Oryzias latipes: one gene and its partner. The protein of the gene in region 1 purifies or fractionates together with the protein of each later gene. This does not show direct contact. Links are inferred from orthologs where the notes say so. Each region holds a gene or a part of one and is shown in the gene's direction. Other genes may lie near its edges.

Region 1 (16,019 bases):
CTTGTGCTATCCTAGGCACTTTAACATTGGGAGTTGGGTCATCTAGACCCACTAGACAGTGCTCTGAACCTTTTTTCTTCAATGATTTGTGATCTTCACTGGTGTCCATGGATTACATGAAATCTTTCCACCTTTATCCACCTTTGTCATGGTAGGGAGAACACGTCAATGGAAGGGGGGGGTCATCTAAGATAGCACAAGGGTTAAGTGGGATTTAGCATGTTTTGTGTTTCTACGATAAAACTGTGAGGCCAAGTTTTCAGAAGCAGATGTTTTCCAGAAACTCTCCTTCCTAACTTAACACAGACAGGCATTCAGCCTCGCATAGAAAACGGTCTTAAATGAATCAATCAAATCAAAAAACCTTTTTGGGAAAGAGGGGTGATTAACCACGTCACTAGTGAGGACACGTCATTGCAAAAAAGATTTGTTAATCATAAATGGCGTAATGTCTGATGTTGATGAGAATGAATGAAAAAACGAGGTTTTGTGTTGCAAAATTGTACATCATAAATGATACATAACAGAAAGAAAGGTTTCAGTTTAATGCAGTAAACATCAGAGGAGCTGCAGATGTGTAATCTTATGTTTGCAATGAGGGTTTTTGTGTTTCCTACCAAAAATGCTAACCTTTGTTCTCCTTTTATTCTTACAAAATTTGGTGAATGCAATTTAAATAATTTGTGGTATCCTGACTTCATGTTAAAATGGAAGTTGTGGCATATTTAGGGCATGGATTGATCATGATAACACAATGTTCTTTGTGTAGTCTTTGCGCAGCGTCTTCCATCAGCTGCTCTATGCCATACTGATGATGAATAAAGAGAGTCGAGGGAAACCGGTCCTCCGTGTTCTCAGTCGGAGTGTTTTGGCAATCAGGGATTATGCCATTCAGTTTGTAAGGTGAGAGGTTTGAATTTTTGCTTTGTCTTTGCTTTTAGTATGGTTGGTGTGTGCGCGTGTGACTGGTGGGTAGGACATGGGGTTCCTGGAATAGTTGCAGTAGTATTGGAATTGTTTTATTTACCAAGTGTTTCTTAAATGTTAGAGTAAAATAAATCTATTTAAAGTGATGTCATCTGATGTCCATTAGTTATACTCTTGTTTTTTTACATTCAAGCAACAGTCCTGTAAATCTGAACCTTCATTCTGAAATATATTCCTATGACCACTAGAGGGCAGCGTCTCAATGAAAAAACGTCAGTTTTCTTAAGGAAATTCTTTCAGATGTGAAACATTTTTTACACCAGATCTTTACCACAATCAACTCAACAGCTCAATTGAAACCCTAAACTATTAGACACAGTTTGACTTCATTATTTTTATCTCCTAGAATGCATTTTTCCCTTCCTCCTTGGCAATGTTTTATTTTCCTTCTCTCACGCTTTCTTTCTAGGCCATTGACTGTATAAGAGAACTGGACTGAGTGACCCCCCCCCCCCTCCCCCTAGCATTCCAAACAGGAAGTACCTGCTGGCTTCAAGAAACCAAAATCCCATAGACTTCTATAGAGAAATAAACTGCTTTTACTCCGGTTATTCTAACTTTCTTGGTCTGATACTTTTTTTAAGCATATTTTTGGATTTTTTGTTTTCTGTTTTGCAAGTCTGAATGAGTATAAACTGACCAGTCAGATACTTCAATAAAAGTAAGTTGACAGATTCTCCCGCTTTCACGTGGTAGGGGTGTGGCCCTCCAACAAGTTCACTCCTGATTGGAGAGGGTGGTCACCATAGAACACGGACTCAGTCCGACTTGGATGTTGTCTGGTTCCAATGAGGTGGCATCCAAGAAATGGCAAATGAATTGACTTGGTTTGGTTGGAGCCAGAAGTAAACCATTTTCAATGAGTGACGTCACACTAGTTTCAGTCCAGTTCTCACATATAGTCAGTGTGCTAGCCTAATGCTCATCTGTTTATTTATACCCGTATCTATGCATCCATTCCCTCTATCTGTTTCTCCTGTTTTCATAGCTCTTTTGTATTTTCCATCCATCTTCTATATGCACCGTTCAGGGTCACAGGGATGCTGGAGCCTTTCCACATCTCCTGAAAGGTGCAGCTGGACTTCATCTTAGGCCATTTATTAGTCCATCACACACAGACAACAGACAATTTAGAGGCATCAACAAACCTATGAAGTGTGCTTTTGCAGCGCCACCAAAGTTAGCAGCGTGTGTGCGCTTCCTTTCTATTATTTCTACAGGATGTCTTTGACGTTTGAACTGTTGAATGTGATTCCAGTCATTTGGTGGAGGAGCAGAGGGAGCTGGCGAAACCTTTCCTGGAGATTCTGCTGCAGCACATCTGCTTCCAGGTCAGTCATGAAGACGTTGGATCAGCTGAGCTGGCAACAGCTCTTTTCACAGGATTCTGCTGTGTCGGCATGTAGATGGTGGAGAAAAGCGAGTACCGAAGCCACGGAGCCCAGGCTGTGGGAATGCTGACATCTCAGATGGAAAATGCAGATTACAGCCGCTTCATTAAATGGCTGTTTAATTTCTCCAGACAACCAAAGGTAAGTGTACAAATGGCTAAATATTATGACATATTTCTGCTCCATGCAGGAAAACTTTGGTCTCTAGCATTTCTGTATTTACAGCACTGTTTTATTATTTTAAATGAAGTTCAGGAAAGACTTCATGATGTAGTGTCCTGCTATTTCACATTGACAGTTGGAACTCAATAGTCATAATATGTTTTTGCAAAGGGGCCTTTTATTTTTACTAGATGGAAAACAGCTGATTTTTAAGGTGATCTTTGGGGGCTGACACTTAAAAAGAATTTAAACCTTTCCAGAAGATTTTAGGACTGACAGGAACTATTTCTGAGTGTTTCTTTAATCAAGTTGTTGTGAATCGGGAGCAGATGAAAAATATCATATTTGTGACGTACAAAATACGCTGAGTGGGTCACAGCTCCCAGCTCCTCTCTATTCTGATGCATCCCCTGGTGAATTGATGTAAACAGAGAGCTCTCAGCAATGGGGAGGGGAAGGGGTGTACAGTTTCTCCATGCCATTGGTCCCACCCAAAACTCGGAGGTGAATTTCTTGTGAACTACTGCTGCACTGCAGTAACTGTCCTAGAAAACACAGGTTTTTTTTTATTTGTGCTAAAAACGGCATAATCAGAATTCAAAGCCCACTGGGAATGATCTTCAGAAGATGATGGAGTGAGACTTTTCTTAGTCTGGTCTCATCACCAGCTGCCGCTAGAACCTCAGTGCTGACTTGTTGCCCTGCTGTCGGCAGATGGTCCATCGACTGTTCTCCGTGGACGTGGTCATGGCTTTGCTGGAGCAGACAGAGAGGCGGCTGGAGGAATCTCAGGATCCGGAGCTTGCCATCTTTCTGCCACAGAGGTTTTTGATCCAGGATCTGCTGTTTGCTCGAAGGATGGATGATTCTCCCACCGTCCAAGGCCACGCCCTTTCTTGCCTGGCTCAGTGTTTGGAGCTGCCCTCCCTCAATGTCACCAGGGCCGTCCACAACCTCTTCTCTGGCAGTAAGAGCATACTTACAAGCTTATAACCATGGGCATAAACTAGAATAACATCATTTGATGCTTTCAATACAAAAATAATTTAACAGTGACTCATCCTCGTAGAATTAAATCTAGATAAAAATGTTCAAATAAATGGAGGCAAAGTATTGAGTATGAATATAATAAATATTTTTTCATGAATTTTATTGAACTGTTCCCTGAAACTGACGTAAGACAATAAAATTAGGGGTGTGTATTGGCGATACGATACGTAACCCGATGTTGAACAGGGAAAAACCCCCCACCAGATAGCTTTATACGATACTGGCAGCAACGTGGCAGTGAGTTTCGTGACAAGACGAGCCCTGTGCTTTTATTTTGACACGCTTAACAGTTGACATCGCACAGGTCTCATCATCCTCTCCCTTTCCCACACTCTCATGGCGCAAAAAACAAGTACTGTCAATTAAATATAGCTTTCTTTTTTAAAAGTGGAAGGCTCCTCTTCCGTCTCCTGGCTGGGCCTTTTCCCCTCGGCAAAGAAACTTTCCAGAGACGTTTGTTTTTTTACTAATTTTACTAGCTGCTGGGTTTTATTTTACCAGTAACTTATACTTATCACGTGACCGAGAATAGCGCCTTGGAATGCGTCAAAAATGACATGGACTGATGTAACAGTAATGCAAGTTATTTATTCTTTCTGTGTGGCCCGGTACCAAATGACTCACGGACCGGTACTGGTCCGCGGCCCGGGGGTTGGGGACCACTGTTGTAGAGGGCAAATAAACTATTATAATAAACTTTAATAATAATAAACTTTATTTGTACAGTTCCTTTCAAAATAAAAATCACATAGTGCTTCACAGTAAAACACGGTTATTACGATATATTGGCGAAACTATTTTTTCCAACACCCCTAAATAAAATGATTTATTGAAGGATATTTAAACATTTGGAGTTTGTTTAGTATTCATCAACACTACAAAATCTTATACCTAATGCTATTCAACCTGTAAGGCAGACTTGGGCGCCTTTTCAATGCTTTTTTTCATGTGGTTTTCCATATGTTTGTGGTTTGTTGTACAGAGTACTTGGACAAACTTAAATAACATTATCATTGTTTTGTTGTCTTCATCCATTGACTAAAGCAGACTTTTATCTTCTATTTTCAGCTGGGACTCAGACGGTGCTGGACAGTGAACTCGCAGGAGGTTTGGGTTCCTTTTGCTTTTTCTTTGTTGCATCGAGGCTTGTTTGAAATTCACTTCACAGCCAAAAAAAAAAGTCAAAACTCTCTGAAGAATCTCAAATCGCTAAAAACATTTGGTACTCCAATCAAGTAAGCCTCTAGTTTATTTGTTTTCATTTAAAAGCAAAGTGCCAACAGATAATAAAACTGAGCCTATTAAATCACACATGATACATAAAAGTTGGCAAGTAATACAAGTTTTCCCATGTCTGAACAGGATCAAGCAGGAGCTATAATAGATAGATAGATAGATGTAGGATCCTCGCACTACTCTCATTTAATGATTAGTGTTCAGGTCTGATGATTTAAAAAAAAAAAGACTGCAGATGTAATATCGACATGTAGGCGGAGCTCCTTTTAGTTCGGATGAGTTGAGAGGCTTGTTGCTATTTGAAAATACAACACGCCATTAATTCATTTATTTTTTAATCGGTCATTAATCTCTGGGTTTATCATAGCGGCTGGGTAGCTCGGTTGGTAAGGTGAGAGGCTAACATGCAGGAATCCTGGGGCAATTACCATATCAATGGTGAGCAGTTAACATCACCCATTCATTGGAGTGGGTCTTTAACAAATGCAGCACCGATGTCAAGACCTCAGTGAAGCTTTATGTCAAGGCCCAGGCTGCTGTTGCTCCTGTTCTAGTAACTGTTGCTGCAAATGGGATTGTGTTGCAGTACCTTCGTGCACGCAGAGCAGCATGAAAAGCCTGCCTTTCAGGACGGTGGAGATCAGCTGTGTTGACGGCTCAGGCTCTGAAGGTGAGATTCTAGCACGTGCAAAGGCTCCGTCAACACTCCTGTGGCTCTCTGTCGACCATCTTGTAATAAAAGACTCTTTCCATGTTTTGTAGCGGCAAAGGCAAACCTGGCTCTTCTTCTTCGCCGTGTAAAGGACTCAAAGACAAATGTCAGGAAGGCAGCGCTGCAGGTGCTTTACTGTTTTTGTTTTGAAATAAAGGAAACTAAAGGTCCACCCTGGTCATCAAAGACCACACCCATGACTGTTTTCCAGCTTTCCCTGTTCCGCTAGCTGCTGCTGAGCTGACTGCAGGGATTCCACAGTCTGGTCATCATCATCATCATCAGCAAGCGGTGCAGGGAGAGCTAGAAAACAGCTGGGTTTGGGTTTTTGATGACCAGGGTTGGTCAGCCAGAAGTGATCATTTCACCCTATAGAACCTTTCTGGACTGACCTTCTTATGTGTTCCTCTGACTACGGTCTTAGGCCCTGCTAGGTCTCCTGAAGCATGGTGTAATTCCCCCAACCTGGGAGAATCTGGAGACTCTGTCAGAGCGCACCAGAGACCCAGCTGTGTCTGTGAGGAAGAAGGCTTTACAGTGTGTTGGAGAGCTGCTCAGTGTGAGTGATACCCAAAAGAAAACCACTTTAAAAACCCTCAAACTTGTACAATAACAGATTAAAACGGTAACTGTGTAAAATCCAATTCTCCTGCCAATGGCCTCTTTGTTTAGTATTTTCTTTGTAAAATGGGTAAAGAGAGATAGACTATCCAAAATTTGTATGCATGTAATGCTGCATTCACATTTCAATGTTAAGTCAACGTACGGACGCGATCTGAGGTCCTGCGGCGCGACTTGGGCGTCAGACGCGGCAAGGTTGGCAAGACAAGGTTTGGGCACGTGGCGTTTTTAGTGACTCGATCAAAGGGTAGAAAAATAAATCCAGTGTGGCCGCTCAATGCGAGGGTTTGTGTCATGAACTTCCATCCATTTTCTTTACCCGCTGGTCTGCGGGGTAGCTGGAGGCTGTGCCGGTTACTGTTGGGCGAAGGCGGGATACACCCTGGACAGGTCGCCCCGCCTCCCCCCTGGAAAGGCTGACTGGAATTAAGTTATGCAACAGTTTTTGCGCGAGGGATGTATAAATGGAAATGCAGTCCCCTCTTTGCTTTTTCTCTTTAACGATGTCACAGAATGAGCGGCGTTGGAGTACAAAAGGAAAAAGCATTTTGGAGGATTGTTAATTTTATTTTTTAAGTCAACAAATGCAGCTTTATTGTGAAAATGAAAAAGCATTTCTGGTATTGACTTATTATGAGACACAAATAATTCCATAGAAAATATGCATTTGAACTAGTTAAACTAGTTGGAGTATTAAAAATCTTCAAAAAGTTACTCAAATAAATGTAACTTGTTACTGCCCATCTCTGGAAATGGGAATAAAAACCTGTTGCCATTGGATGTCCTGTCACTACCAGGCCAAAGCCGAGTGCAGCACGGTCCAGAAGGCATGGCTGCAGGGCGTGCTGCCGGCTGTGGTGGACTCTGAGAGCTCGGTGCAGGAGAAGGCCTTGGACGCTCTGGAACAAGTGCTGCTTAGTCAAGTCAAACTGTACAATGGCGGCCATCACATGGACACAGATCAGAGGCTTACATGGGATCTGCTAGGCTTGTTGTCACATGAATGCAGAAACCTGAGGTAAGAACTGACCAGAACCGGTCTTTTTACTAAGCTAAATCCATTTTCTGTAGTTACAACTACTGTGATGCTCCACTGGTCGATCTCACCATGTTAATTCCCTTGGCAGTACTCTACAACATTGGTCCCCAAACCCTGAGCCGTGGGCCTAATCGGTCCATAGAACAGTTGGGACCGGGCAGCAGAGGGGAAAGAAAACATTCTACACCCTTTTTATTTAAAATCTGATTTTGAAGTTTTATTTTAAAAAGCTGCTGGATTCTCTCCACCACATCTGACACAATCTTGACGGACATCAAGCCGCTCTGTCATGCGTTAAAAAATACAACCATTACGTTCTAAAAGTGGCTGTTCCGGTGCTATATCATGCTATATTAACCCACTAGCAAAGTTAACAAAGACAAACGTATTTGAAAAGTTTCTTTTGGCAGAAAAGATGCAAAGAGGAAACAGAAGAAGAGCCTTTAATTTCAAAATAAGAGAACTGCATTTAACAGAAAAAACAGTCTTTCCTCCAAATATGGATTTATTACAGCCGTTGTTCCCACACACTATAATATTAATGTCTAATGATAATAATAATTATTATTATTATAATTATTATTATAATAATTAATGTCTAATGTTACCAGAAAGCTGCTAATAAAGTATTTGAAATGGTAGATTCACATTTATTAATACTTTTACAAAATGGCTGTTTTTGTGACCTATTTATTTTTTTAAATGTATTTATCCGTCTCATCATAAAAGTCAGACCCCCCCCCCCCATTTCTTTTTATTAATTTTTTTTCTTTTTCTTTATGAAGGTTATGGGTTAAAGGAAAATCTGTGGCACTTTACTGGCTGCCTTAAAAGAATCATCTTAAAGCCCCAGTCTGATCTTTTGATCCATTTTAAGATTGTTCCCAGTCTGTTTTTATTTTATTTTATTTAGGTTTTTTGTTTCATTTTTATATGGAATTAAAAAAAACCTGTAATTTTCTATAACATAGTTTTTGCAGAGCGTAGGAGTTTATCAAAAATGTTCCCTTTGAGATGTGGGCGGGACTGTTGGTGTTGACTGAGCCCGCCTTCATTTCCCATGATCCTTCTGTTTACACTCACACTCCTGCTAGCTTACAGCCCCCCGCACACCTCACAATTATCTTTAGCAGTGCAACAAAAATGGTGGTCAACATCAGATCTATCCAGCCGTCCAGTTCTGATCCAGATTCCAGCTCAGACCCGGAAAATAAAGAAGTTCATGGATCTATGTGTCTGACAGTGGATGATCAGAATGGAGCAGAGCAGGGGGACTGTGACTTGCAGGTTGCAGCTTTTCCATAACCACAAGCTTTCTACAACTACGTTTTTTCATCTACACCTTATTTCAGAACAATGTGAATGAAGAAATGCATTTGTGAGCTTAATTTTCTTTACATATGTCCTCCACTATGAGAAAAATCCTATATGTTAAAATCCCCATTAACAGCAGAGTGGGTCCTTCAATGATCTGTATCAACCACAGCAAACGGGCTGTGGTTTGACCAAAAGCAAAGCTATATAGACCTCAATTTAATGTGAGTGTGTCTTTACGATCACATCAGTCTATTTGCCAGAGAAAAGGAGATGGAGACTAATTGTAACATTTCTTTTGTTCCAGCCGTTATTTTAGCAGAGCCTTCACCATTTGGTCGAAGCAGAACAAGTTCACGCCGGCTTTCATCACAAACCTGATGTCACACTTTAAGGCCGATCATGCTGCAGGGGCCTGGCTGCTGCTTTCCAAGGTCGCCACTTCATGTCCCAAAGTCCCATGTGGCAAAATCCTGGACTCGTGGGACGCATCGATCAGGCGAGCACGAGTTTTACCTGAATCATTTCCAGACATTTTGGTACTGGTCATTTTTGATGATCCAATTGTGTTTGTTTAATTACCCAAAAATCTACTTTATATTCTTGCAGATCAAGAGATGTCGACGTGACAACCTTCTGTCACATTCTATCTGTTATGGGAGACGTTGCAGTTCATTTAAATGATGATACCAAGAACAGGATAGTTGGTAAATGATTGTGGAAAGGCGATAGACTTCACTAGAAGAAGCTGGAGAATGATGACCCTCCCTCACTTTTCTTCTTTCAGAGGATCTAATGTCTTTGTTGAAGAGTTTCACTTTGTCTCTTGAGTTGATCAGCACAGCCGTGCAGACTCTTTATCAGCTTGGCTGTCAGGAGAACATCAAAGAGACCCAGGTTTGGAAAGAAACCTTGTTTTAAAAAATATGTATTCGTTTTTGTTTACTTGTCGAACAAGAAGTGCGAGTAGCCAAAAGTGAGGGTCTTTCTCATCATACTTGGCTTGTTGTCCAAGTTAAAAATGAGAGTCCAGAGTCCAACTAGACAGGAAATATCATCCATTCATTTTTCAAACCCAATGAAGCCCTGTAAGGGACACGGGGTTGCTGGAGCCCATACCAGTTATTGTTGGGCAAAGGTGGGGTACTGAATAGGTTGCTGGTCTGTCACACAATCACTCACATTCACACCGAATCTCTAGTGGCATTCTGAAGTGGTTTTTCTGCATCGAGCCTAGCTGGTTCTGTGGGAGGAGGCACAGCCACCAGGTCCCTGCCTGCAAGCCCAAAAACATAATCATACAAGAACATATTCTCTTGACAAGAATCACTTTGGCTCTCAACCACCCAACCACAGTAAGATGACAGATAGATCATGGAGAGATTGAGTTGTTACCAAGTGTTTGTGTCACTAGTTTGGTGGGTCTGTTGTGGTAGGCATCTGTCTCCCCCTTGCGTTGTGACTCGTGTGTGTGTGTGTGTGTGTGGATGTTGTGCATTATGTTCATCTGAGTTGTGTTTGTGTCCATCTGTGTCTTTGATGTTATCCTCACATTATCACAACACTCTAAGCTCATATTCTGTTATCTGTTTTTTTAAGTTTCATGGAGTTTAACATTTCTTTCATATCAAAAATGTTTACTTCGTTTTTTGTCAAACTGTTAAACGTTTTGCATTTGAGGACTTTTTGGGTTTCTTGTCTTCAGGCCTTCCTAAACCAGCACTGTGGCGAGCTCGTGTCTATTTGTGAAGCTTATTTATCCGCTGTCATCCTCAATGAAAATGGAGCCCAGGACCTTGATGAAGAGCTCATGGTGAGCAGGCTTTTCCCTCTTATTCAACCACACTCCTGTCATTGCAAGTTGGTGGTCACTTGTCCCTCACCAAAAATGATTTTTCTTTTTATTTGTTGAATCAAATTACACTCGGATACAAAAGTTCTCATGGGGATCCAAAGCTTCTTTCTAAAAGATACATCAGTCTCTACGTTCTCTGCTGTGGACTTGCGTCCTAGAACAAAAAAGTTCTCAAAGGGTTAACTGAAATATTTGTGGTTCCAAAACAGTTTCTCTGCCCTCACCTTCTTTTCTCCCAAACACACTTAGCAGACACAACCACACCTGGCTGCAGGTGCATAAAGGTGATGGCCTTATGAGGGCATAGGCAATGCATCCATTATTCTACCTGCTAAATGATATCTTCACCTTTTGCTCTAACAACCATGGTCCAGTCAAGTCAAAATAAGTGTGCATGGCTTTAAAAAAATTATTATTTTTAAATATGACTTGAAGTGACTCACTGAAGAGTTAAATTTCTAGAACCGCTCTACCAAAAGAATTTCCTATGACTGCCGTCAACCATATTTTTAACCTTCTGTAATCAGCTGGTCAGAGGGGTTGTACTAGGGCTGGGCGATTAATTGGATTTTTTTAAACGATTTATTTTTTTGGAAAATCTAGATTTTAGTTTCCCAGCTATCTGCTCTCTTGCGTTTCCGTTGTCTGGAGTAAAGTCAGTCCGTCGGTCTCTCTCAGAGCGCAGATGTGGAAACAGCAGCAAGCAGAGAGGAGCTTCTTCCATGAGGCGGAAAAAGAAAACACTAGTGTTAGAGACTTCTGCTAGATGCCTCCTGTAGCTTCAGTTTAAGCTGATGAAGCAGCAGAACATGATGATTTATAACAGGATCTAGAAAGAACTGGAGGAAAAACCTGTTGAAATACAGCAGCAACAGACAGCTGTGTGGTTAGACTACGATACTACGATGCTTAATGCTAGGATGCTAAATGCTATCGAGCTGCTCCGGTTTAAAGTCAGACTATATTTTCACGGAGTGAACTTTAAGACGTGGAGAATAAATGAAACAAAAACCATTCATAAAACATTTATAAAACTTTTTTTTATAAATTTAAGAAGAGACACTTTGTATGGAACTTTATTAGTAGTGCCTTTGTAACATTACAGAGCCGGTGTTGAGCTAGAAACCCCCCCCCACACACACACATACAGCAAAGAACAAAAAACTGTTCATCAATTGTTCAGAGAAATCACCAGGGGGGATAAAAACACAAAATAAAAATATTAAATTATCAAGCTGAGCAAAATGACACGTTTTAATCGCTTTTTTTTGTACTGGGGGAAATGGAATGACATTACAGACCAAAGGTTTGTACACCCCTCATTCAAATGAATGGAAAGGTGTGTCCAAACTTTTGGTCTGTACTGTAAATAAAATCTAATTTGGGCTAGTAAATCAACAAAATTGGGAGCTTTATTTCCAAATTTAGTCTTTTTGTGAATATAAGACTTGGTTAATAAAATCAGAAGATTTATTAAATAAATTGAGATGAAATTGTATTACCATAATTAACAAAACCAAATAAGATATTTTTCCAAGTTAAAGTAAAATGTGTATAAATTTCAGTTTTTATCAGGTTTGTTAATTTATCCCATAGTTTTTCCATGTATCCATATTTTCACGACCATAGGGCGCACCAGGTGTTAAGGCGCGGGCACGTTAACGCCCCTTTCGGACCCTCAGAGCCTCCAGAGGGGTTTGATAAAAGATCCAGTCTCTGTTCTTTAGAGGAAACCTTTTATTTATTTATTTTTGTACCGTTCTCCCTAAACTTTGGAAAAGACTTAATTATATCTATCGCTAATGAAATTCTATCGCTAATATCATTTTTTAATATAACACCTATAGTTTTTCTTTGTAAAATAATGGAATCATTTGCTTTTTATCTACTGGTCATCTTGTCTGGTGAGTCTAAAATGGGATTTTGGTCTCTGGAGTTGTGACTTCAAACTTAGAGCATCAAACCACAAAGAGCAAAATCCCTTTCATGGTTGTTGCTACCAGAAATGCTCTGCTGAGTGCGTTCTAGTATTTCTCTGCTGCTTTGTTCTACAAACATTTTTACAGCTTGGATTTAGTTGAACTTTGTATTAGAGCCAATTTATAAAGAAGAAGTTAACATAAAATAAATTATGTTAAATATATTACATCTTTCGAATGTTTGAAGAAATAAAAGCAGGGGAAAAATGGATTATAATCGAATTTTGAATAAAAAAAAATCCGAGATTTAATTTTTTGGCCATATCGCCCAGCTCTAGGTTTTACACATTTTCAGTCTGTTGGAACATGTAATCTTAAACATTAGCAATTCAAAATGAAAATGAGTCCACCAATGTGCATTTTCCACAGAGGGTCTGTTGACCTGCATGACATCTACTCTACTGGATCAGCTACGAATGACATCTTCTGATTATAGCGGAGATTTGGGAAATGTGTCAGTGAGAGAAAATGTTTAATGGGAGCTAAAGAACACAATTACAGTAGCTACATGGTTATGAAGCGAACCACTGGTTAGAAAAAAGACATTAGAGTAAAATTATCCTGCTTTTCACTCATTACAGCTTGACTATGGCTGTTTGGGTTTTTAATCCAGTGTTTTCCAACCTTCTGTGAGCCAAGGTTCCCCTTTTTTTTGAAAAAGATCACAAGGCCTTAACCAACCAAAACTGGAAATATAATGAGACTCTGTTGTCTGTATCAACAATATACAGTTATTCTTATCAGAATTTAAAAAAATCAAATAAGCAAAAAGAAAGAAGTACTTTATGATTTATCGTAAATGTTTTTTGACCAAATTGGGTGAAGTTGAATAAGTTCCTATGGCACACCTGATGATATCTCTGTAGTGTATTCTGTATTCTGTTCAGTCTTTATTCTGGAAAACATTTTATTTTGTAAAGTTGACCAAATGTGAGCAAAATGTGTTTAGAATTTAACATTTGTAGCTTAAGTAGGAGGGAAAGAACTTTTTACAAATCTGTCAGAATGAGTGATTTTTTTTTTTTTTTAAATATTTGTTTATTTATTATTTGTTTTTAGATAAAGCATCTCCACACTCTGGGTGTGGCATCACTTCAATGTCCGGCTAAAGTGAGCAAGAAGACGGTGCTGGTGGTGGAATCTGTGCTGACAGCACATTCTAACAAACTAACAGGTGAGGGCAGCATTTATCTCAGCAGATGTGGAGTTTAAAAGTCACATGTTCCAGCTGTGTTGAAGGAGTTTTCTTGTGTATTCCTTAATGCTGTTTTGGAAAAAAAAATCTAAAAGAAGAGATGGGTTTTCCATTATACAAAGAGGTCCTAAAAACAATTGGGAAACAAATCCCATATATGGTTTAAATTTTGTTGAATTTGAACAGATTGCCAGGATGATCTGCCAGCTTCACTGCCTCTGTCTCAGTTCAAAGTCAACGCTTTACCCCCCCGAATCAAAGCCCATGGAGTCTTAACTTTAGGTAAAGTCTTCTTCATAAGAACTGCATGCTGCTCTTCGTGTTTCCAATGTTTCATGTTGTGTTTGCGGTCTGTGTGGTTCAGGTAAGCTGTGCCTGCAGCAGGAGGAGCTCGTGCACAAGTATCTGCCAGTGTTTGCCAGAGAGCTGGAGGTCGGCAAAGAGGTTGCTGTGCGCAACAACATCGTGGTGGTCATGTGTGATCTCTGTGTTCGATACACCAACATTGTGGACCACTACATACCTAACATCTCTGCCTGTCTCCGGGACGATGAAGATGTCATCAGGGAGCAGACTCTGATCATGCTCACTAACCTGCTGCAGGTGGGGTTACCTTTGAAACAGTGCTACTCGCAGAGATATTGATATTTACATGAGTGCTTCTCCTGTTTGGTCTGAATTTCAATGAAAAATGTTAGTTTCCTTTGATGCTACTAAGAATGGGAAGAAACACAATTTTTCTACCGTAATTAACAAACATTGAGCATATCGGTGGCGGGTATTCCCACCATTTGCTGCAATGACAGCTCGACAGCGACATGCTCCTCACTAGACTCATGATGTTGTTCTGTGGCACTGCGCTCTTCTACAGGTGCTACATTCAGCTCTTCTCTTGAGGGTGCGGTCTGATCATAAAAAATAAAAATGCGTGGTCACTCCGCTGTGCTCAGCCGTTATGAGGAAAAAAATACAAAAAACAATCTTCACAAAGTGGGTCTTTAAACACAAGCATTTTAAATGTAATTTGGCATTATTGTAGAGCTTTGTTTGACATAAAGTTCTTCATGTTTACCAGTTTGTAAGTTGATCCTTTTCAACTCTTGATGCCGATATTGACAACGATTAAAAGTGACAGTGTAATAGAGTTAAATACAATGTGGTTGAGAGAGAAGGTGGGCGCACCAATCTTTTCTGCTGGTGCACCTAAAGTTAGGCGCACCTGTGCAACCGGTGCAAAAATGTAGTCTAGAGCCCTGCCAGTAGTTCTGTGTCTCGATCATTGACTGTTTAAGAGAACTGGACTGAGTGACCACTCCCCCTGGCAGTGTTGGATACATTACTTCTAAAAAGTAATTGATTACTTTACTTTAGAAACTGGATCAAAATAGTTATTAAATTACTTTACTCATTACTTATTTGAAAAATGAATTCACTACTTCTTACTTGACCAGACATGCAGTCGTGTGCAGCTTAGAGAGAAAAATCAGTAAGAAAGGGTGAATTGAAATAGAAAAAAAAACTCCCGGGAAGGAGTCAGCTCTTGTCTTTCACACCAAGGAGCCGACTTCAGAGTCGTTTTTAGACCCACACAATGTTGACATTGATGCCATAATGAAAAGGTTTTTCTTGTAGAATTATTTGGTTTGGGTCCCAAAAAGTCAGACGCTGAACACGTGTGGAAAACACACAATGAGGTGTGTCTATTACCCTGATACAGTTGTCTTCCGATTAGATTCCGATTTAGAGTTTGGCGTGATTTCCTCAACTTATTGTGAGTAATTTACATTCAAAGTTGTTATTACTCAAGCACCTTCTTCTCTGAAGCCAGTAAATAAAGATGGACACAAAACATGCAACTAAGATGTTGTAAATCTTTTGAATGTTTTCTGCAGATAAAAAAGCATGTTGCTTGTAACAGCTTGTTATAGTAGATGTACATCTAAAATGCTCTTGGGTTTACAGATGTTTTTCAGTGGCAATCTACTGGGAAATCTGTCAGAATGTCCTCAAATGTCTTTGCTCTTTTTAGGAGGAATTCGTTAAATGGAAGGGCTCGTTGTTCTTTCGCTTTATGGCGTCACTTGTTGACCCGGTCCCATCTGTTGCCAGGTATGTGACCTGTCAAGTGAGTGGAAGCTGCAGTGGGTGTGTGGAGTCCACAGTACACTTTTACCATTATTCATGTCTTATATTTCAGGAAAACACTGAAAAGCATGACATTTGTAATATGAGGACAGATATTAAAAATAGCTGTATTATAAATTTCCATTATAAACGAAAAGAAACACGTATTCTATCTGAGAAATATCACACCTTAGAGTATGAAGAGATTGAGACAAGATCCTGTGATGTTTGAGAACATAAGTCAAAAAATGACAGACCAGCATGTTAAAGAGAAGGAAAAAAAACTGGATTTCTGGGAGAAGTCTGGATAAAAAGTGTTTAAGATTCAGTGGGGGACTTGGTGTACCTGTTTCT
Region 2 (16,693 bases), on another chromosome or scaffold:
TTGTGTTTTTTGATAAGTTGTTTACAGACTGACTTCTAGAGATTACTTTGTGTTCCAGATCAGTGTACTGGAGGTAACGCATAAATACACATTTTTTGGGTGTGTTTGGCCACTCTAACTTCTGTTTTCTGATCAAATAAAAATGCGTAACCTTAAGTTTCACTTCTAGAATTAGACCACTGTTATTGCTAACATTGACAGACCAGATATGAGAACAATAGTGTAAGGATGACGTGAGATGTTCTTTGTATTGATATTTATAATATTGCAAAACATGAGTGGTGAAAAATAGTACAATTTTTTACATTGTTAGAATGACTACAAATAGCCTTAAGGATGCTAAAAGGTGCAATTCATATTACTGCATGTACTAGAAGCGCATAAATAATAGTAGAAAAGCAGATTTCTCTACTCTTGACCTGAATTGTAATTGATTACTTGCAGTTTTAAAAATAAAGTTGCTTTGTTTCGTGTTTGACTGCACAGCAGCAATGGACTTTTTGTACCTGCATGACTTTGGCACTTGGCTGGAGAGGCTTGATGGTTAGCTGCACCCCTGAAGTGTAAAGTATTCTGTCTGAGTCTGGACCCCAAGCCACAGAATATACAGGAGACCCTTGAAGATGAACAGAAATACAGACAAACACAACCGTATGTTAATCAAAAACCTAATCTAGATCTAGAATATAAAAGGGGGATTCCAGCTGAAATCTAGAACAAAACCAGTTTAGAGAAAGCAGTTCATGTGGTTTTAGTTATATGTGCAGCTTTGAGACTTTGTGATATGTTTGGAAGAAATCAGGTGTTTTAAGAAAAATACTCTCCTCTTTGTCACAGACGACCTAGAAGTTGGTGTGAACAACTGCAGCAGAACTAATCCCTCCACTCAGAAGATATCACATTCCTTCTGAGACCTGAGATTCAGCCTGGAACAGCACTCAGCTTGAAGTAAAACCAGAGGAGAAAATCATAGTGGAGCATGAGCAGCCATACACGTTTGCCAAAAAGTTTGTGCGAGGGCTTGTTCTTGTTTGGGTGTGCAATTAAAACTACCCTGGGAGAACCAACATGCTGCATCTCACAGAGTTTAGTGCATATAAGAGTTCATTCTTGGTTTTAGGGTCAGGGTTTGGGATCGGGTAAGGCATTCAGCTGCAATAGTCACATTTAGGAGGAGAAGTCAGTCAGGCGCTGCATTATGTCAATTGTGTCGCGGTGAAGACAGTAGTGCAAGGATGTGTGTGTTTGAGTTGATTTGTGGCTACACACGTGTGAAGAGGAGGGAGCCTGACATTTTAACCTCACTCCAGGTGCATGTGGTTTCTCACAAATGCCAACTGGTCACATGCTCTAAATCTGACAAAGGCGATGAGAGGGGTTGACACAAGTTCCTACTTCTCGCTCCTTTCCAACCTCTTCTTGGAGCTCAGACGTGATATGGGTCATATGCTAACCAAAAAGAAACAATGTGCTCATGCAGTTTGCATGTGCCAGTATGTGTGCAGACGCAGGTTTACCTCAACATTTCTTATACATAGCATTTTTTCTAACACAAAATAAGCCAAAATTGGGTGCTGCTTTCGGTTTTTAACAGGATGCAAACAAAACAAAAAAGTACACGTAAAAACTGGATGTAATTTTAAACAGGCTGTTTTTTTTTTCTAAAAGCAGAGAGAATGTCAAAGTTCAAATCAGCAACTGGCACCACTGAGGAGGGGCTTAAAAAATGAAGTCTCTAACAAACGGCAGCACCTGCAGTGATCTGGGCGCCTTGTGCTAGATTTGATGTTTTAATGAAAAGCAATGCTTCTAAATCTAGGTGTTATGCAAATCTGGTATTTTCTGACCATCAAGCAGCTCATTTCTTAAGTATTAACCAAAGGAAAAAAGTCTCTACCGGTACTTGTAGCACTTTTTTCTTTTTGACTGTTTTTTTTTTTTGCTAGGTTATTAAAAAACATCTTATTCTATTTCTTAGTGGTGTTTCACTTCTTTAAAATTCTATCTTTTTTTAATAATATATCTCATAATAATACATTTAATGGGAAGCACCTTATAAGTCACATCAGGGGGCTCTACACATAAAAGCAAGATTACTCAATAGAAGATAGTGTTTTTCAAAGGATCACACATGTTATAATCTTGGTGAAACCGCTTCTGTTAGAAGGTTGGTTTAAACAGATGGGATTTGAGTTGAGATTTAAAACCAGGGAGAGAGTCGATGATCCTGATATTTGGGGGGGAGGGAGTTTTAAAGTTTAGGAGCACATTAGCTGAATGCTCTGCCCCCTCTCCCCATGCTGCAGAGACAGATAAAAGAAACAGTCAGGTGAAGGGAGGACGAAGGTGAGGGTACAACAATGTTGAGGAGATTGAGGTCAAAGATGGTCTTTACAGGTGAACAGCGGGAGTTTGTTGTCAAATCTGAATTTGGAACAGGGTGTAATTATACAAGCGTTTGAGTTCTGGACCGGTAAAAGCTTGTTGAGGGGTTTGTGGGTTAGAGGAGAGAACTTCGGTCGTTGATGCAGCTGGTGATGGAGCTGAGGACCAGGATGAAGGCTACTGATATTACACAGATAAAAATCTGCAGACCAGGTGATATTGTTGATGGGATTACTAAATGAAAGTGTATAGCCCAGAATGACACACACGCACACACAACTTTTACTTGAAAGACGGAGACAACTATGGAGTTATTACAGTATTCTTTAACACATTTCTTTTAATATGGAAATTATATTAAGATTATAGGAGAAAAACAAGAACTGAATTGAACAGAAACACCCAAATGTGTGATGAATTCAAAAATATTACCTGTGTGCAAGTTTAGAAGAGAGGAGGGGCAATTTCAAAAAGTTTTGAAAGAAAAAAAACTACAATTTCATTAGAAATGAGAAAGCAACATTTAATAATAAAAACAATAAAATTGATGAAAAAACATGTTTTGTTCTTTCCTACTAAGCCTTTTCTCCTTAAAGTAAGATCAAAACATGCACACACACCCTTCAAAGTCTTTTTCTTTGACCAATAGTTTCAATCTGCAAACTTCTGTTGTTGATGTAGAGGCATTAATTGGATTTTTTTAATGCTATCATTATATTTTTGGAAAAAAATTAGTAAGAAAGTGCATTTGAGTATTAATGTTAAAGAACAGGGGGTACCAAAATTTCTCTAAAGAAGTAGACATAAAAAGTCACCCCTTATCAGTTCTAATTGTTTGAGATCCAACAGGAATAAAATGAGAAAGTCGGGCTTTGCCCTATTTCTAAAGATACTTTCACACTTTCATGCTGCCGAAATTCTGGAAAATGTGTGGACAATTACGTTTGGACATTGTCCAAAAAAAGGATATTCAAGTGTGTACTCAATAGCATTTTCTGGACGGGCACGTTCACATCTGGAAAGAATATGTAGTGATGGAAATCAATGCATTCATTTGCCAAGAAAAGTAGATAAGGATCAGAGGAAGGCTGTTTGTGTCTGTGATATAACCTCTGGAGTTCTGATGACATGGTTGTCCAGGTAGACTACAGTATGCAGCAGCATATGCTGTGGACAGAATCTCTAAAATATCTACACATCTTTCATCTGCATCCGTAAATTTAAAAAAAAAACTTCCTTTTTTCTTCTTCATATAGTATTTGCATTGAGTTTAGTATTAGCAAAATCCTAAGGAAAATTGCCACTTTGTAAATAGGCTTTTGCAAGGTATTCAGCAAGGTGTTGGTATTTCTGGCACATCAAAAGTCAGGCGTCACATTTTTCTGACACCTTAGTTGACTCTAGAATACTTGGACCTACAAAGCAGGTCATAGAGTAATCAGTAAAGAACTCAGGGCCCTTGGCTGCAAAACAATCCCAAACACGGTTCCTCCAATCCTTCCACCAGTGTGCTGGACAGTTAATTAATGTCTTTCTGTTGCCCTGCTTCATGTGGCGTTCAGCAAATGTGGCAATGAGTATTGCTGTTCCGGAAATCTTCAAATTTGTCTAAATGAGAGTTTTGCAAACTCAAGCTTTGATACAGCGCTCCTTTTACAGAGAAGAAGCTTTCTTCTGGCAACCATTACATATGCGCCATATTGGTTCAGTCTTTTCCAGCTTGTGCTGTAATTAACTTTTTGTACTTGATATTTCTTTTCTTTTTATTTCCACAATAATTAATTGTGAAACATAATGACTCGGCTTTTAAATTTCAGTTAAATGTTTTAAAGTCCAACTCTGATCATCTTTTGATCTATTTTAAAAGTGTTCCCAGTGGTCTTTTAATTGCAGTTTTTAGCCAAAATCACAAAACCACAAATGTTTTCTGGGGCACAGTTTTATCGAAGAGGCAGCGGATCATTAGAAATTCAACTCTAGGCTTTCAGCGGGACCGTTGGTGCAGAGTTCATCCATCTGTTTACACTCTCCCACTATCTTACAGCCCTTGACAACCTTAACCTGACATTATCCGTGTAACAAAAATGGCGAGCAATATGGGAGCTGTCCAGCCGTACAGTTTTGATGCCAGCTCGGATGAGGAAAACAAAGACGTACATGAATCTATCTGTCTGCAAGTGGAGGGATCAAAATGGATCGCCCAGCTTATTTTCTACATCACAAATACGCTCTCTTTGAAACTGCATTTTTTCATCTGCTCTTGATTCACAACTGTTTGAATAAAGAAACACTCTAAAGTACAATTTTAAGCTTAGGTTTCTTTATATGTGGCCTCCATCATGAGAAAAATGCCTAAAGAACATGTTAAAAACACCAAAAACACATATTTCATGGGAGTGGGTCTTTAAACATCCAAAATGTTTTCTACTGTCATTCTAATAAGATATACCTAACTGCGATCTCTTCAGGTGGTATGGTAAAAAAGTTCTCCAAGTTTCTGGGTGACATTTTGCTTTTTATGAACAATCAGCTTTTGCAACTGGTCATCTTCACAAGATTTTAAATGGCTGGGATTTTGCAGACACAACACTTAGTTATGTCTTGAGTTTGTTGTCTTTTCTATTTGATCTTTCATAGGTTGATCAAGCAAAAGGAACAAAAATAAAAAGAAACCTGTATAAAAGGTCAGCTAAAAGAAACGGTCAGATTTCAAGTATGAGGGAAGTCCAAGAAAATGTGGGATAAGAAAGACGAGCTGACTTTTAGGCAGTTCTTCAGCATTTTAGTTGTTTTTACATGATCTAAGAGCTGTATTTCGAGTTTAATTCTGCAAAGTGCATAAAATTAAGTGGATAATAGGCTGTAAAACTAAGACAAAACAATTAGCCTTACCTTGGTTGGCTAAAGTTGAGCGCAGCATCCCAACTTTTGACCAGATCTTGATTAGCCCATCTTCTCCAGCTAAGAACCATAGAAAGCAGCATTACTTTAAAAAATATTAATGTGTATTGAATATGTTTCTTTGTCTAAAATTGACCAAATATTTATTATACTGCAGCTGTGTATGCGTTAGCGACATCCAAACCTGTAACAAGAGCAGTTCCATCGTAGTTCCATCTTCCTGCTAAGACTGCACCTTTGTGAGCGTCAACACTCTTCTCAATGCGCCCCATCTTGGAAACCAGGTGGAACTTTCCTTAAAAACAACCAAAAAAAAGAGTTGACTTTATTGTGACACTATTCTTCAGTCCACGTTTGCCCTGATGCAGACGAGTACGATCTAATGACTCTGTCCAAAACTGATTAATGCAGTGTTGCACCAATACATCTTTAAATGGGAGAACAAAATGAATTAAGTCAACATATTAAACAGATGAGCAACATACATTTGTCAAAACAATGTTTTAAAAGCACACATTTGAAAAAGAAAAAAGGAAAAACTGCAGATCCAAAATAGTTACTTGCAATTAATAGATGAATAAAGAAAATCTTTACTTTAAAAATACTTCAAATGAATTAAATTGAAAATTCCAGATATGTAACCAGGGCTGCAGGACTGTAGCATGAAAACGTTTCTTATAGATATTTGAGAAAATGCTAAAGATCAATAACAGACTGATCCTTTTGCTAAATGTGTCAGGGCTCACAGTAGTTCAAAAAATGATTGTCATGCATTTCCCTTCTCATATTTCATGTAGTATTTATGGCAACAGCTATTTGTCTAGCTTGTGTAAACTATACTAAAGAAAGCAAGAGAAAGAAAGTTGCAAAAGGGAATCGCAACGAGTCTCTGGCATGCCAAAGTAAATTGCTGCATCCGTTTTGCAATTCAACACTGCCATTAGAGTTGTGACCACATATTGCCTACCACAGCAGTCCAATCATGCTCTTATGTGTTCATATCTACCGTAACATGCATGACACACCTTGGCACTGTCTGGATTGTTGCCTTTAGTGACAAACCAAGTCATCCAAAGGCAAATGAAACAGTATGGTATCCTCAAACTAAGGAATACAGAAATTAACCATTGTGTATTTACCCAAAAAGTATGAAAATTACTATCATTTGCTCAAAGTAGGCAACATCAAAACATCTATGTTGCATCATGAATGACACTACACTAATTTTTGCACTAGTTGCGCTGGAAACAATTTATTAAGTAATGAGTGCAACTGCGGATTCTCACATCTTTATAAAAGTTGAAATGTTGAAATAAATGACTTCTATGGGGTTCCTGAGGAAAACTGTTGGTAAGAAGACAACTGACTGCTACTAATTATATAGTTGGTAACATTTTTAGGGACATAATCTAACAAAGCCCTACGACAACCTGTCCAGGATGTCCCCTGTCTTGGCCCACGAGTGGCCAGGATAGGCTCCAGCAGCCACATGACCCAGAAAGGGACAAAGCAGATTTAGAAGATGAATGAGTGAGTGAATGAATGAATGAATGAATGAATGAATGAATGAATGAATGAATGAATGAATGAATGAATGAATGAATGATCTAACAAAAAGAGCATCTAGGAGAGGCAGGGCTCACGAACCAGTAGAACTGGGATTAAAAACAATCTGAATTTCAGAATATCCTTGCAATAAAGTTATTAAGTATTTGAATATCTCATCATCCAGCAAACACAAAATCATTTCTGTAAAAAAGATAAAAATAAGATAATGATTGCTAGATGCCCGGGATCTTTGGGTTCATTGGTCGAATTACAGAACAGGTATGATTCATGAAGGAACAAATGTAAAAACCGATATATAGGAACATATGCTGTCAAAAAATGAAAAGGGAAAACTGTTCACAGCAGTTTGGGTTTCAAAAGCAACATTTTTTCGTGTAGACAAATTATTATTTACACCTGACGAATTCAAATTCAACATCCATAATGATGGAAGCAGCAGAGATTTCTGCAAAAAAAAAAAGTTCACGTCTCTAAAAAAATTATATTTCAGGCAGAGCAACTTTTTCTTCTACCCACAAAACTTCTTTAGCATAAAAAGTCTTGCATCTTTCAGGAACATAATTCTAATCAACATGCAGTTTCGTCATAAAAGCATGGGCACTGAAAAAAAACATTTTTTGGTTTTGGCCAATCATCATTGAAACGCATCTGGCACATTGCGAAACGGCAAATGGAATTTTTATGCAGTGAAGTCCAAGTTTAATATCAGATAAAAATGCATTTTATTTTCATGGATTGAAGTTTAAAAAAAAGAGTCACAGCATGGCTGGTTACTTAAAACTTTTTACTATCCTGCAGTATTTTGTAAAATAAATAAATATATTTAAAAACGGCTGATTGAGTCTTTCACAACTTGATATGGACATACTGTTCATTTGCTTTTTAAGATGCAGAGTGGGTTTTATAAAATACTTGCCATCAGTGCTGGTGAGGACAAAGATTTCAGCTTGGGTTTGTCTCTTCCCACCAACAGTTTTGGGGAACCAGTGCATGTCCAGGGGGTAGATGTCCTCTGACAGCTTGACGACCACATTGGTTTCATTGTTCACCAGGTTCCACTTGAGGATCTGATGATCATCACTGCATGAGTACAGCTCATCGGCTGTGGTCCAACCTAAACAACTTACAAGATCCTTATGTGAGCTGGTGTTAAGAAAAATAATAAAAAAAAGGACAAATATTACAAATTCAGCTGATTGCATGTTTTCTACATAGATACCTAGAATCTGGAGAACCTGCCCCCAACCCCTTTATTTATTTTATTTTTTGTTTGTTTTGTTTTGTCTTCATTTTTTTCAGTAGAAAATGCAAATGACAAGGTTTATCATTGCTGCAGTGGTTCTTATCAGCAGAAATTTATTTTAGTTTGCAGAAATGTAGGACAGAAAATAATTTAAAAACAATCTTAAATTGAAGAACAGCAATAATACTATTAAAACGGGAACGTGAAATGTCACAGTTTTCAAAATATTTTGCCATTCAGCTCAAATCAAAGGCAATAAGTTATAAAACAAGAGGGATCACGATGCAATTAAAGGATATGTTTTGGTTCCTTCTGCAGCGTAGTTTTTAGTCTCATTGTTCTTGTCTCTCTGTTGAATCCTAAACAAACAAAACACACGTATGTCAGTTTTGAATCAACTCTTAAGTCAAGCTTAACATTAGAGGAAAATCCAACAAAGAGAGAAAATGCACCAACACCAAACAAGCGTCTAGTTGCTATGTTACCAGGCAGCCACTGTAGCTAACTAACTAAAATCATTACCTTTTAAAATCGCACGGGGGGCATTCTGATGACCGCACTTCTTTTATGTGCCTCTTATCAATGTGTGAAAGTCATTTGATATAGTTCGAATATTCGATACAAATGAACCAGGTCAAGCAGCGTTGATGAAGAAGCGTTTTGTTTTCATGACGTATGGAAGCTAACTTTTTAGCCATGAAATCTCGGATGAGTGAACGGTTGACAGCCAAGTCATCGCGAGAGTTGTAACAATTTGCAACCTCAGCGTGTACTTATAGAGGGTTTACTTTTTGAGTGACTAATACAAATTCATTCAGAAAATGATCTTTAAAGTAGGCTTGCGTTATTACTGAATAATGTGTTGATGATCTCGGTCACTTCCAAAAAATAATATAAACGTTTCCATGGGGCGGGACTTTATTTTACAGTAACCGAATGATTCGACAGTACTGAAAACACAACTCTTTTCTTAAAAGATATCCTTACTCAAAAAATGAAAATCGTAAGTGATGTCTTTTTATGAAATTGTCATTTATCGCTTTGTTACTGTTGCGCCTTTCTTATCACTGGTGGAGCGAGGCGGAGTTGGCTTCGTCCCCTTTTTTGAATTTTGTGTTTTTTTCACACTACCATTTGAAAGGTCCATGATGCTTTGCGAGAGTTTATAACGAATTTGGTTCGACGGCGCAGTTTAGGCGCCATTTACAAGACAAGTTTTTCGAGAAAGGAAGCGGCTCCGGGTGATACGGCACACGATTTTGTGGACTATTTTAGTGTATTTTTTGCTAGACCTTGGATTAACCTATTCTTCTTGAAAGGTTTGGACTGGATCGAAACAGAAAATCAGCGAAGGACTTTTTTTTCATTTGTGGAAGGTACATGAAGAAAAAATAGAAAAAAAATATTTACTGGGTTCCGTCTATTTGCTGAAATTCATAGCGGTCGTTGAAATTGAGACAAACCTTTAAGTAAGCCACAAATCCAACTATGTTTTAAAATAAAGTAAAAGGAAAAAATATAGCATTGGCAGGACATTGATAGTGTTACTACTACTTATTGACTTTTTTTTAGCGTTTTTTAATAATTGCAACAATAATGGATTCTTAACTTAAGCCCCTATAGCATTACTGTTTATATGTTTATTACAACCTATACCAGTTAAAGGTGGTAATATGTCGGTCTGCTCTGTGATGCTAAGTTTGACATAATGATTAGTTAGCACCCCCCCTCCCCCCTGCTAACCTAACTATTAGCCGAGGGAAAAAAAATCGTAGTAACTTTTAATGCGACATAGTCATCCGGTAACAAAACGATTACGAAAACATTCTTAAATCATGCTGCATGTACTGTAGGTTTGGTTAGTTATTCGAATACATTAACAAATCGCGTTAGATGGCCAACTTCAAATTATCATTCCGCCCTGAACATTAGAATTCAGGGACTGAAAGCTAGTTTGCAAGTTCGACTGTTATCTGTTGAGCTGCGCTTTCAGTAGTGGTCATCATAGAAAACTAGCAATTCAAGGCTCGACACGAATTTCTCTCCCTCTTTTTCTTTCTTTCTTTTTTTTTTTTTCAAATGGGTGACGTAAACTTTATTTTCCTTTTCGTTGTTACCCACCGTTAAACGTTAACGGTTAAGGCCAAAAAGCATTTTTCCAAAGTTTTGTAGTTGGCTAGTTTGTAACATTTTTTTACGGGGATTTGTTTTAAAAGCTAACCTTTTTTTGATCCTAGTAGTGTTAAGATGAATAAAAATCGCTGTAACACACTTTTCCATGTTTTTGTTTTTAGCAACTATTTAAACTTTTGGAAGGAAAAAACAAATAATAAACACAATGGTATATTATTAGGAAGGGCGGCAGTAAGATTTGACTGGTAATGGCAAACTCCTGACACATTAGTTGTGTGTGACTGACCGTAAAGTGGAGTTGAGAGATTGACAGACACAAAAACCACTCATGTGTCCCCCCCCCCCCCCCCATTTATTTTTTTATTTTTTTACCAATGACCCCTTTAGATTTCAAATCATGCCATCCAAAACCGCAAAGAGCTCAACCGCCTCTACCAAGCCAAGAGGAAAAGGGTCGCAGGATGTGTCTGAGGGTGATCTGGATGTACCCCCTCAAGAAACTAACTCCAATGGCCAAGAGGAGGCACCACCGACAACTGGCAAGTAACAAAGGCTGTTTTGGTGTCTGTGAATCTAAATAAGTTGTTCAGTCAATGGCTCTGCGTGTATTGCAGTATTGCTAGAGGCCAACTGGCACAGCTGTAAAGCTCCTTCCCCTCCTCTATCTTAAATTGAAAAGAGTAGCTGGGATGGCTGAGACGTTTTCTAAAGTGCAACATAGAAATGAAATCACTCCAGGATGATTTTCATATCGTCGAATGCATTTCTTCGCCCGATCTTGACGGCAAACGAGGTAATTTGCTTCGAAATGGTGTGTTTTTGTTGTGACGTAAAAACGGGATTTGTATTCATCATGCCTGCAACTTTTTTTTTTTTTTTTTGAACAGCGCGTGTGCTGCTCTCAAGATGCAATTGTTGAAGTTCATTGGTACATGAATCTGTTTAATAATTTTTTTTCCGCTAAATGTCTAGCTGCTATACTTTATTTTTGAAACACCGTCAATTCTTTTGTATATATGAGAACACAAAAGATTTTGAACCGATTCTTGAAGATCGTTGTAGATCTTCATGCAGAAAAGTTTTTCCTGTCTGTATTTCATTTAGCTGGGTGTAGTAACGACGTCGCTGATATAAACGCACTTCATTTATCCTGGAGGTGTCCGTGGCGCATCAAACCGGAGAGAGACTGCGTTTGTGAGCACTGATGTGTGCTCGTTCATGTCCGATCCGAGGCTTGACTCTTGCTTTCTGAACAAAGGGGGAAAAAAACGACGCCTGTCAACTTTCCCCGGAGTCGCTTGTCTGTCTGTGCGACTTGCCGACTGTGTTTTTGTTTGTTTGTTTTTGTTCTCCCCCCACCCCTCCCCCATGGGCCACTGTCCCGTCCCTATTACCCCCCCCCCCCCCCCACTCCCCACCTGAAGCGATTCGCACAGAAAAACTGAAAAGTGCCCTTTTCTGTGCCACAGATTCGGCAGAAGGGGAGGCTGCCGAGGCGGTCGATAATCGAAGTTTGGAGGAGATTCTCGGTAGCATCCCTCCACCCCCGCCCCCAGCAATGACCAATGAGCCGGGCGCTCCCCGCCTGATGATAACACATTTAGTGAACCGCAACTTTAAGTCGTACGCAGGCGAGCAGATTCTGGGGCCTTTTCACAAGGTACGACCAAAACTTGATTCTAATCTACCATGTGTCCTGAATATATTTAACTATGTACTTAGATTACATTTAGTGCAGTGACGTGCGGTGAGGTTAATGGCTGGTGAGGCACTGACGTCATCAGTCAGATTTACAAACATATGAACCATACTGATTAATTTATTCTCCATTTGATTGACAACAGTTAAGGTGTTTTGTTTAAAATATCATTTCAACATGTTTTTTTTCATATACAAAACGCAGCATAGAAAAAAGCACAAACATTATTATCGTCTTACCTTTACTTGTAACTAAAGTCCATACGCCGCTCTTTCGGAAGAAAATGACTTGCCGCTTGCTATCACTTATTCTATTATTTTTTTAGCGTCATAATCTCAAGGCTCACCGGCGCCCCCTAACGTGAGGCACGGGAACTTCTGGCCTCACCCAGCGGCTTTTTCGCCGGCGTTTAGCGCTCAGCACAAGAAACACGTCCCTCACATACAGTTATTTATAAAAACAAACACTGTACATCATATACATCTGCTAAATTATGCAAACTCAGCTCATACAGTACAAGTGATTGAACCGACATACAGAGAGACAGCAGTACCGTCTGACTGCATAGGTATTGCGCAATCCAAGGTGAGGCTCAGCGGGCTGGTGCCTCATCGCACGTCACTTCTTAGTATCTGAACGGCAAATGCGGAAATTCAGCGATTTTGAAAAGAAAAAACACCCAAAATTGGTACATTTAAATGGAAAATGACTGCAAAGCACAAATTACTGATTAAATATAATAGTTGAATTTATTTTTTCTCTTTTCTTCCCATGACAGGTGAGGCACAGCCTCACCTGCCTCTCCTGACTGCACGTCACTGATTTAGTGTAACTGTTACTATCCAAGTCTTATTCATTTGATACTATTTTTTTTCTTGTCTGAAATCTTAGGTCACCTTTCTAATAAATGTGTCTTATTGAAATCTATAAAAAAATAAGATTATTAGTAAAAATGTTTAGAGAGAAAAATCCTTAAAAAAAGAGGAAGAAGTCACACTCCTCCATTTTGATTTAGTGTTTCTCTCAGTTTCTGAAAATCTACTGGTGTAATCACATTTAATGAAACTTTTTAAATGTTTTTTTCTTTAAAAAAAATCTTTTTCAGTCGCCTCATGTCCATGCAAGTTTCATATTGCTAAATTTAAGTGTTTAAATCTATATTAGACTTGTGTGTGGTGTCATCGCTGTTACTGACAGCTGTTGTTGAATCTTAATCTCTTGTATGTTTCATATGGATGATGCATTCATTTTTATTTATTTATTTTTGTCTCCTAATTTCTTCCCAGCGCTTTTCCTGCATCATTGGTCCAAATGGAAGCGGCAAGTCTAATGTGATAGACTCCATGCTCTTTGTGTTTGGATACAGAGCTCAAAAGATAAGATCAAAAAAGCTTTCAGTGTTGATTCACAGCTCTGATAAACACAAAGATGTGCAAAGCTGTACTGTGGAGGTGCATTTTCAAAAGATCATTGATAAGGTATACAGATATTTATAAACACTTTTTTTTTTTACACACAAATACAAACTTCACTAAAATGATCAGTTTGTTGTTCAAACAAACAAAAAAAAAATCACCAGAAATATTTTAGTTGGGCAAAAATGAATTTTTAAAATGTATTTGTTCTTTGTCGTTTCTAATGCAGTAATATTGCTGCTCAATTCTTCTTCTAGTGACCAAGTGTAAACTTAAATCAGTTGTGAAAGTTACTGGAACTCCCACACGTGCCACATTTGAGTCATTTTGCCCTAAAATTGATCTGATGGCAATGAAGGGAAAGAGATAAACAAATGCATTTATTGCCTCTGCTTTTTTTCATGGTGGCAAAAAAAAAAAAAAAGCAGTAGTGTTTGCTTTAGGTAGGATGTAATAACAGGCTGCTGTAACCACCAACTGTGAGCTACATTTTCCCCCCAATTAGAAAATTTTTTATAAATTAAATTAGCCATAGGGACTGTGAATTTGATCACACTGCTGAAGCTAAAATGTTGTGTATTTTTTAATAAACATTGATTTGTCTTAAAATTGGCACAAACTGAGAAATCTGTCAGTTTTGTATTTACAATCATTCCTTAAAACTACAGGGTTTTTTCTTTCAGCGATGTGCACACGGCCTTAAATAAATAGCCTTTTTTCTTCTTTCAACTAAACATTTTTACCCAATCCGTTTATCTTTTGTAGTTACAAGTTTAGGAAGCTTACGATGCAATACACTCCAATACACATTTAGTGTTTTATCTTATCCTTTGCCTTTATAGATGTAGTGCATTCTCATAAACAATATTTTATGTGTGTGTTTTTCTATGTAGGCCTTGTTAATAAGTGAATCTGTCAGTGTTGGAACAGTTTGACGTGTTGGGCTGTTTCAGCCTCTCCTGAACTGTTCTGTTCTAAGCTGCTGTGTCTTCTGCCCCTCCCCCCCCCCCGAGCCAGGAAGGAGATGACTACGAAGTCATCCCCAACAGCAAATTCTACGTTTCCAGGACTGCCAACAAAGACGGTTCCTCAGCCTACCATATCAATGGCAAGAAAGCCACATTTAAAGAAGTGGGGGCATTACTACGAAGTCACGGTATTGACCTCGACCACAACAGGTTTCTGATTTTACAGGTAATTATTTAGTGTTTTTCTTGTATTCTTTCCTTTTTTCCTCTTATCCTGCAAGTCCAAAAAACTTTATTTTTTTTTGAATAATCATGCCATTCTGTCATTTATCTTTTTTTATTATTATTTTTTTATTTTTTTTAGTGCAATTCTCAGGTTCTTTTTTGCTTAAATGTTTCTCATGTACCTGTAGGCCATGTCTGGAAATGTCATGGAATATGCTGTGGTGTCATAGAAAAGAACTGGGGAGGGGTTGCCCTCTGCAAGACCTTAGAATGCTGTAGCAGCGCATCATGGTTTGAAACAGTCAGAAAAAAGTGCGAACCATTATTTGCTGCTTTAGAATTTTAAGGAAAAAATGCAAAAAATTGAAATTCTCCCACATAAACCTGAATGTCAGTTGCTAAACTATTTGCTAGCTTAACAGAGTTTTTTTATATTTTTAATATTTTTTTTATTTTAATTTTTTTATTTTTGTGGATCCACTAATGGCGATGAGGTGGACCCTTCCTTTTTCAATATACCTGCTACGCTGTAGCAGCACGTAAATATTGGCGTGTGAAAAAAGCCCCCAACCCCAATATTAGCAGTGCTGCTTCAGTGTGACGGGATCAAACATCCTCTGTTGCCAGGACTTTAACTATCTGTCTTGGTTCACGTTTTGTTCTATTACTGTAATTCATGGTATACTATGGTCCTACATTATTCTTGGTTAAAAAGATTTACGGTAACCAAGTTTAAATCGTCTCACCTGTCATAATTTTCTTCTTAATATTTTAATTTTCTTTTTCATTTAATTGTATTTTTTACCTACCATAAAATAAAAAATAAAATATTGAAAAACTTTTCCAAGAAAAAAATGTAATCTCACTTTATAATCAATTATTTCACATCTTTTTTTTTTTTTTTTAATAAAAAGTGTTGTGTTTTTTCTTTTTTCCTCTAAATCTGCCCGTCTATATTCCTTCTCCTTACACAACCCTGTTTTTGGCATGGCTCCATGACTATGGGAAGAGTCTTGAGCTTGGCTTCAAGGTCACTTTTCCAGACCTTTAGCAAAAGGGGAAGCGGTGTCATTTGTGCTCCAATCAGGACAGAAGGATGTGGGGTTAGATCTCCCTTCTTCCTTGAGCTTATTTGTTTCATCAACATACAGTAATGTCTGATCTACTTTTTACCCTGCATATAAATCAACCCTGGGTTAAGCAAGTGTGTTATATGACAAAAATCAGGTCAGTGATGAGTGTTTGAATTGAACTAGATGTTTTCTCTTGTTGTTTTTGAATTGTTTGCCAGATTACTTAAAGTAGTTTCGTAAAATCTGTGTGAAATCAGAATTGTTCATTTACCATCAAACTTTGACTTTATTAGATTAATTTAAGTAAAAGAAAATACGTTCCACTGTAGTTAAAGGAACTGAAACATGTTTACTGCTACAAAAAATTGTTTCAGAAATATAGCAAAACGGCTTTTTTTTCACAAGAACAATGGCTTTTGAATATGTGTGTGTGTGTGTGATGAGTGCAGGTTTTTGAATACATTTTGGACAGGTAAGCATCATAAGTATATATTTAATTCTTCCAATATTATTTTTCCATCACTCTAAATTTATTTATTTATTTTTCTTCCCTTTCCTGAGTGGAAAAAATGAATTTTGTAGTTTGTTCTGGGGTTTTTTTCTGTGTGGTGTTGCTTTGGGATATCAATGCAACACCAGTTACAATTCAGAATATTTGCCTCATAATTGAGGCAAAGGATAAATATATTTAAAACAAGAAACGACCGAAAGTTAGAATAACTTAGTATTTCTTTTCTCTGTGAGTCAGTTCTGTAGTTCCGCCCTTGCCAATAAGCTTGTCTGGACTGTACACAGGGTGAGGTGGAGCAGATTGCAATGATGAAGCCCAAAGGTCAGACGGAGCACGATGAAGGCATGCTGGAGTATCTAGAGGACATCATCGGTTCTTGTCGTCTCAAGAAGCCCATCCAGGTTCTGGCTCGCCGCATTGAGCTCCTCAATGAACAGAGAGGAGAAAAGGTAACTCAACATCTTTCACAATTGAGAAAACCAATGTTTGTTTTTGTTGTGTCTGAACATGAAGTTATTTAAATCCTTTTTTATGAAAGAATTTGTGTCTCGGGACTGTTTTCATATTTTAT

What was found.
Region 2: the proteins of ncapd3 (region 1) and smc4 purify together in Homo sapiens (co-immunoprecipitation; 3 studies listed by BioGRID and IntAct, with this or other methods). This does not show direct contact. The link is inferred for Oryzias latipes from reciprocal best matches to the Homo sapiens genes NCAPD3 and SMC4.

What each region holds. Positions count from the first base shown.
Region 1 is NC_019873.2:3,921,011-3,937,029, forward strand, and holds part of ncapd3 (condensin-2 complex subunit D3), read left to right. Parts: intron 1-769; coding exon 770-903; intron 904-2,245; coding exon 2,246-2,318; intron 2,319-2,393; coding exon 2,394-2,519; intron 2,520-3,254; coding exon 3,255-3,507; intron 3,508-4,658; coding exon 4,659-4,697; intron 4,698-5,412; coding exon 5,413-5,496; intron 5,497-5,588; coding exon 5,589-5,665; intron 5,666-5,962; coding exon 5,963-6,097; intron 6,098-6,956; coding exon 6,957-7,177; intron 7,178-8,819; coding exon 8,820-9,011; intron 9,012-9,121; coding exon 9,122-9,219; intron 9,220-9,299; coding exon 9,300-9,409; intron 9,410-10,217; coding exon 10,218-10,325; intron 10,326-13,405; coding exon 13,406-13,520; intron 13,521-13,727; coding exon 13,728-13,823; intron 13,824-13,905; coding exon 13,906-14,144; intron 14,145-15,570; coding exon 15,571-15,650; intron 15,651-16,019.
Region 2 is NC_019871.2:13,482,085-13,498,777, forward strand, and holds the start of smc4 (structural maintenance of chromosomes protein 4), read left to right. Parts: upstream 1-9,295; 5' UTR 9,296-9,339; intron 9,340-9,417; 5' UTR 9,418-9,474; intron 9,475-10,618; 5' UTR 10,619-10,628; coding exon 10,629-10,770; intron 10,771-10,791; exon of another isoform or gene 10,792-10,954; coding exon of another isoform or gene 10,955-11,024; intron 11,025-11,700; coding exon 11,701-11,891; intron 11,892-13,216; coding exon 13,217-13,408; intron 13,409-14,362; coding exon 14,363-14,539; intron 14,540-15,046; exon of another isoform or gene 15,047-15,149; intron 15,150-16,406; coding exon 16,407-16,571; intron 16,572-16,693. Other genes in the region: ift80 (intraflagellar transport protein 80 homolog), read right to left, coding at 507-616, 5,278-5,346, 5,471-5,581, 7,772-7,993, 8,398-8,434. UniProt on the Homo sapiens protein: Central component of the condensin complex, a complex required for conversion of interphase chromatin into mitotic-like condense chromosomes.